2 linked regions of the Mytilus edulis genome follow. Each later gene encodes a partner of the first gene's protein in a complex. Links are inferred from orthologs where the notes say so. Each region holds a gene or a part of one and is shown in the gene's direction. Other genes may lie near its edges.

Region 1 (3,759 bases):
TTTATCACTTTTCTATCGTTATAGGAAACGAGCCCAATAGCAAATTATGGTCCATATAGTTCTTTGATCTTTTGATGGTGTTGTCATGCTTTTAATCAATATTATTAACCCTTTCAACGCTACACAAAAAAATAGAAAAATGGCTGCTGCTGCTGCATTTTTTTTTAGTACATTCATTAGAACAGTATTTTCCTTTTCAGACTGCTGTATCTTTTTTATTATATGAGATACAGAGAAAGTTATTGCATGAAAAATGCTCAGGAGAGCATGAACTGTAATGTTAGGCAATTATTTTACTGAAATTTTTATCAGGTTACCTGCGTTTTCAGGTAATTAACAGGTAAAAGGTGTAATTTATTACATTTGTGTTGAATTTTGAATAAAAACTACTTTTAGTCTTCATTTATTTTGTTGTTTTATCTGCCATATTGTAAAGAAGACACCAGTTGCCCGATTTCGTAGCGTATTGTACCATACATAACGTTTTATGTAATCGTGGCACAAATAAATAGCTCCGTCAAAAAAAATTTCAGTCAACCTCCGTTTTCCCCCCTTTTTCTACGTCTCGTAATGATCGATCAAATCATATTTCCCACACGAATTTTATGTAATAAACACATTGAGATAACAAGAAACCTTTTAACTAATCCTTGTTGTAAGTTTCGCCAAGGAAATGCTGAAATTTTTCCATATTTACAGCTTCGTTTCCGATTTCCGCCATTTGCATTTGTCAAAATATTTGTTTTTATTTTCCTTCTATTTTCCTTCTACTGCATGATTTTACTATAAAAATTGTCGGGATTTCAAGCGCAAATGAGACCTTGCATATCCTAGATTCAAACGAGGAAAAATTAGAGAGAACCCGAATGAAAACCGAATGGTTTAAGAGTCCTTATGAAAAATCCTTTTTCATCGCGGCATATGCCGCGAATAGCAGTGGCGAACGGCGTACGTCATCGCGGCATATGCCGTGTATAGCGTTGGAAGGGTTAAGTTATAAATTATTTATTTATATGAACATCTTCAATATTTTATTTTTGATTGTACTGTATTTTTAGTGCTTGATATTGTGATAAAAAGATTTTAAATTATTATGAAGATTTTTTCATTCTCTACTACCATGACTAATCACATCAACATGATCAATGAACAATTTTATTCAGAGCCGGCTAAACAAATTTGCTATTTTGCCGGTGCCGGTAAAATAGCCACTGCCTTTGCAAAAAGCCATTTTATTAATAGAATTTCTACTTTCAATTATCATTGTTTCAGCTTCATTTAGTCTATCAGTGGAACAAAATGTATGTGAAAGAAATATCACATCTTTTTGGATAATCTGATTCAATGAGGAATTTCAGGTGAATAAACATGTTTTTGTTCTCTCATGTATGCTTTTTCTGTTCGTTTCGAGGAAAATAGTGTATTCTACTACGAAAAGTTTTGCTTATAAGTCTTACAGAGGGTCATCCATTCTATAAAGAAGGAATTTTAATGTGAGATTTGTTTGGGATCACCAGGCACAGGGCGCCGACATTTTCCAATTGTTGATGACGTTTTTCGCATTCTTCACACTTCCGGTTTATTTATTCTTACCATGCTTCCCTGTTGATATTAGTTTTATGATAAAATCATGGTTGATGCTTTGTTGAGTGATGCTGAGAAAGTGTTTATTATACATGGCATTCAGGTTTTATAAGTTCTATTCACTATTTAATTCTTTGTACGAAAAATATTTCTGAAAAAAAACCAACTGGCAACACATATCATCATAGTGGAAATAATTATGACATTCTGGCAAGGCTGTTTTATTTTTGTTCTGGGACGCCTTCCTACGACACGAAGGCGTCTCAGAAAAAAAATAAAACAGCCTTGCCAGAATGTTATAATTATTCGAACTACACATATATCTTCTTATTCTTCTTCTTCTTATGGTATCCAGTTATCCATCAGATTTTTGATGATTACTAACTGCTGCGCATGCGTAGGATAATAATAAATAGATATTTACAAAAGAAAAGTGCCAAAAATAAACAAATACTAACATGACATGTGGTTAAAACTATTTACATAACTACTAGGTTTACTGTTTTATATTGTAGAGAACAGTAGGTGTCAACTGTTCTCTAAAAATATTTAAGGTCGGAGAAAGTACTACCTTTGGAGGTAGTACATTCCATTGTGTAATAGTAAACGGAAAAAAGGAATATTTGTAACAGTCTTTAAATGTAAGTATGTGTCTGTAAGTTTGTGGATGGAATTGTCTGGTTCTATTGTCTGTTGGTATGAGTAAATCTGATGGTATGGCGACAATATGGTGAACAATTTTATAGAACATTATAAGTCTAGTTTTAAGTCTGCGTTGTTGTAAGGTAGGCCAATTTAAGGTATTGAGCATGTCTGTAACGCTACTGGTGTTGTGGTAACGATTTCAGGCATACCTAGCTGCCCTACGTTGAACCATCTCAAGTTTATTGCATTGTTCAGCAGTATGAGGGTTCCAAACCGAACAAGCATATTCTAGTTTTGGTCGGACAAGTGCTAGGTATGCCTGGGACTTAATGTTTGTGATTGATGTTTTTAGATTTCTTTTTAGAAATCCTAGACTTTTATTTGCATTGCCAATGATGTTGTTTGTGTGCTGGTTTCATTTTAGGTCAGATTGTAGTGTTATACCAAGATATTTAGCTGCGGAGACAGATTCTAGTGTATGACTGTGGAGAATGTAGTCTTTTTTAATTGTATTTTTCTTATTTGAGGCTGTGAGAACTGTACATTTGTCTGGATGGAAAGCCATCAGCCAGTCTTCTTCCCACTTTGCAGCAGCATCAAGATCTTCCTGAAGACTATCACAATCTTCCTTAGATTTGATGCTTTTGTAAATGATGCTGTCGTCGGCGAACAGTCTGAGTTTACTGGTTTTCAAATATTCTGGTAGGTCGTTTATGTAAACCAGGAATAGAACTGGACCCAGAACTGTTCCCTGTGGGACACCAGAAGTAACTGGAGCAACGTCTGATGACTCTCCATCCAGGACAACTGTTTGTGTGCGGTTTGATAAAAAGGCAGAGATCCAGTTAAGTGTTTCATTTTGTATTCCATAGAAGTGTAGTTTGTATAAGAGTCTTTGATGTGGGACTTTGTCAAAGGCTTTGGCAAAGTCCATAATTACAAGGTCTGTTTGGGTGTTATTGTCTGAATTTGAAGCCAGTTCTTGTATAAAAGATAGAAGTTGTGTTTCACATGATCTAGAGTGTCTGAAGCCGTGCTGGAGGTCGTATAATAAATTGACATATATCACTGACATATACGCTGGAGTATATACACTCAAATATGAGTCCACTCCTTGACGGGAAGATAGATAGATAGACTGCCTGGATTTGTATTGTACAATAATTGATTATTTATAAATGATCCATTATTTTCAGTGTCGTTTCAAAAGTTAACATAGCTCTCACAGCATGATTAACAGGACAGAGTATGACGTCTTGAATGAGGGTAGGGGGTCTCATTGGGGGCTCCGATCCCGGTTCCCGCTTACTGTTTTGTCAGATTTCCGTATCCTGCTTACACTATGTATGTAGGCAATTCTCATTTTCTTGTCATTTCCCAGGTCTCGCTAAACCTCATTTCCCGTTTTCCTGAGACAATAGTTTGATTTTCACGTGTCACGCTTACAAAAAATCGGCAATCCAGTGTCACGCTTATACCTCAATGAGACCCACAGGGTAGTTCAAATAATTATTTGACATCTTGACAGGC
Region 2 (3,759 bases), on another chromosome or scaffold:
TTTAAATTTATTAGCTTATTTTGTAATTTCATAGTTTTAGATTTGTTTGTATTAACTGTTAATTGCCATTTATCACAATATTCAGAGAGATTATTCAAGCTATTTTGCAGACCATTTTCGCTTTCTGATAATATGATTTTAAAATCGTCTGCAAGAAAGTGGCTTCCTATGTCTGAATTTATATGCTTTGCAGGGGTACATTTTTTGCTAATCATGGCAAATATCTGACTTAAGTCAATGATTAATAAAAAATATATATATATGTATAAAATCATATGTGGAGCTCAGCAAATAATCTCCTTGTCTAACACCTTTCTCTGCAATAAAATGTCTACTTGGTGTCGTCGTCCGTCGTCGTTAACTTTTACAAAAATCTTCTCCTCTGTAACTACTGGGCCAATTTAACCAAACTTGGCCACAATCATCATTGGGTATCTAGTTAAAAAATTTGTGGGCTCGACCTGGCCAACCAACCAAGATGGCCGCTATGGCTAAAAATAGAACATAGGGGTAAAATGTAGATCTTGCTTATAACTCTGAAACCAAAACATTTAGAGAAATCTGACATGGAATGAAATTTTTTATCAAGTCAAGATCTATCTGCCCTGAATTTTTTAGATGAATCGGACAACCGGTTGTTGGTTGCCGCTGCCCCTGACTTGGTATTTTTTAAGGAATTATTACCGTTTTTGGTTATCATTTTGAATATTTTTATAGATAGAGATAAACTGTAAACAGCAATTATGTTTAGCAAAGTAAGATCTCCAAATAAGTCAACATGACCAAAATTGTCAGTTGACCATTTTATGAGCTATTGCCCTGTATAGTCAATTTTTAACAATTTTCATAAATTTTGTAAATTTTGGTAAATTTTTGCAAAATAATTTCCTCTGTTACTAATGGCCCAAGTTCATTATAGCTGAGACTACTACATACACATGTGTAATAGTAGTCTCAGATAAAGATAATTGTAAGTAGCAAGAACGTTCAGTAAAGTAAGAACTTCAAACACATCACCATCACCAAAATACAACAAAATACAATTATGTCATGTATCCATCTGTGTTCTTTGTTTAATATTGTCACGCATAGGCGGATCCAGAACTTTTTCCTAAAAAGGGGGGGGGGGCGCTGACTGACCTAAGGGGGGCCGCTCCAGTCATGCTTCAATGATTCCCTATATAATCAACAATTTTTTTTAGTATTTAATTGTGTAGTGAGTTGGACACATCTTATCTTATAAAAAATTGCATGGTGGAGGACAGTATTTTATTCTGCTCCATTGGAGGTGTGCCTACATTGGCAGATTTTATACAGATACAGATCGATTATCCGGAACCACTACCGGAACTGGTTAAACTTCTACAATTTTTCAAAATGTCAGCCCCCATTCGTCGCTCATGAGCTTTTGAACATTACCATATACAAAGGGAAAATGCCGACCGATACTCGAAGGATTGGAGGTCCAGAGGAATCGTTCAGTCCTTTGGCATATACTCCAACCGATAGTACCAAAACTTTGATGGTAATGTAACAAATTAAACAGGTTGGGAACAAACCTTCTGTAAGGTGATTATACCCGGTTGGGGACAACCCACCAAATGGGTAACTGTTCCCCAAATGAGTAACAATAACTCATTTGAGTAATCATTTTGTAGTGCTAAAAAACAAAACTTTCTTAACTGAGTCTTTTTTCTTAAAATGGCACATATTCATGAAAAATGCAGCAACTTTTCTAAAAGATGATTATCCTTATCTTTTAAAGTTAATTTACTGAGAAGATACAAGCCTATGAAAAATCAGAAAATTTGACTATTTTCTAGGCTTCTAACTTTTTTAAAACCCACAATAAAAATATATTTCTTTGGGAGAAGTTGTTTCCATTTTCTATAAATTAGTGCCATTTTACCTAAAACGACCAATTTTAAGAAAATTTAGTTTTTAGCATTATGAAATTACTGTATACCTGTATAGAGGGATAATCCTTCTATAGAGGGAAAAAATTTAAAAAAAAACATAATACTGGTACAATACTGGTACAAATTTTTTATATCAGTATTGTGCACAATACTAGTTACCAGTATTGCAATCACCAACTACAGGAGATCCCTGTTTCCATCTCGGAACTGACCCAACGCAGACTGAATATTGTATACAAATGTAGTGTGATTAATATAGAAATATTTTGCATGTGATCGGGTCTCACTAAAACATATATGCAATAGCACTTTGTACAGCATTCTGCTAATCAATGGATTGACGTGGAAAATAAATCAGTAAAACAAAAAAAACCTTCCAGAAATAGAACATTGTAGAATAAAAATATGTTTAAAAATTTTATGCAAACAAATAAGAAAAAGATACAAAAAAAACCAAACAACAAGGCACATAAAATAAAAATAATTTTGAGGAACAAAGAAAATAAATAGTAAAATAGCAGTTGAAATGTGGAAAACATCGGTAGATATATAATAAGTATAGTCATATCACAACAGAAATATAAAAACCATGATTAAAAGAATTAGGCTACTTTTATTAAAACAAAGTTTTCTCCAGTACTTCACCTGTAAACATATTTTATGCCAAATACATGTAGGATGTAGAACTTCTATAATCAATTAAGTGACTGAGAGGTTAAAGTTACAGGTAACCTGATTCTGAAATCAGTGAACCATAATTCTAGTAGCAAGGATTAAGATGAAAGGACAAATATATTACCAGTCACACCTGGATCTGTTGATTAATGACCCTACTACCTACCATAAAAATGTCTGATTATTCATATCCGACTAGACAGATTAAGACATCCATAAAAATAAGTCTCTACCCCTACTGTAAATCAGTCTAGACCATGTAACGCTTGGACGCCAATGAGACACTGCATGTAGGAGCTGAATTTAATTGTAATATGATGCAAGCATTACCTGTGAAAGGGGAAGAAGTTTGTATGAATTATTTTTTTTAACTCAAACTTGTTAAAAAAAGAAACTGAAATTCAGAAACGTTTCCGATTTTGGTTCTGTTGTTAGGGATTTTAGTAGTGACATAATTTAAGTTATGACGTCATATTCAATGTAATAAAAAAAAAACTTATCAGGTAACTTTTTTTTATATCAAACAATTAATAAAAATGAATTGGATTACACTTTATCGCTTTTGTCCCCCATTACTGGATATCACAGTATGGTAACAGGATCTTTCGCCCTGATTACATGTTCGCCCTAGGTTCGTTCGCACTAAGTTTGTTCGCCCTGGCAATTCGTTCTCCCTGGGTGCGTTTGCCCTATTTTCATTTATGATATACATGTTGCATTAATGAAAGAAATATATATTTATATATATTAAAATTTATGTATATCTATTAAAAGTTAAATACAGAATATTAATTAAATAAAATTCTTGGCTGCATTGTTACACTTTATTTTATAATTACTTTTAATTACTGTTGATTGAATTTTGATTGCTAATTAGGAATAATTTGAAATCTTTGATATCACTGATTGGTATATGAATTGTTTTTGATGGATTAATAATGAAAATAACATTTTTCTCAAATAAAATAGTCAGCTTGGATGGGTAAAAAGAATGTAGGACAGAAAGTCACAGGACAAAAAGTCACAGACAAAAAGTCACGGACAAAAAGTCACAGGACAAAAAGTCACAATTCATTTTTTCTGATTATTTTCTTTGAATAAATAACGCTTATTTCTACAAAAATATTTTTGTATTTTTCTTAAACTATTGTATATAAACCAGCTT

Evidence for each region. Proteins that work in one complex are often made in the same cells at the same time.
Region 2: exosome complex component RRP42-like (region 1) and exosome complex component MTR3-like share a complex: the UniProt entries of both Homo sapiens proteins name them as parts of the RNA exosome core complex. The link is inferred for Mytilus edulis from reciprocal best matches to the Homo sapiens genes EXOSC7 and EXOSC6.

Annotation. Positions count from the first base shown.
Region 1 is NC_092348.1:9,394,294-9,398,052, reverse strand, and holds the start of exosome complex component RRP42-like, read left to right. Parts: upstream 1-1,544; 5' UTR 1,545-1,630; coding exon 1,631-1,687; intron 1,688-3,759. Other genes in the region: palmitoyltransferase ZDHHC3-like, read right to left, coding at 1,458-1,471. UniProt on the Homo sapiens protein: Non-catalytic component of the RNA exosome complex which has 3'->5' exoribonuclease activity and participates in a multitude of cellular RNA processing and degradation events.
Region 2 is NC_092345.1:86,987,615-86,991,373, forward strand, and holds the start of exosome complex component MTR3-like, read left to right. Parts: upstream 1-1,351; 5' UTR 1,352-1,435; coding exon 1,436-1,525; intron 1,526-3,759. UniProt on the Homo sapiens protein: Non-catalytic component of the RNA exosome complex which has 3'->5' exoribonuclease activity and participates in a multitude of cellular RNA processing and degradation events.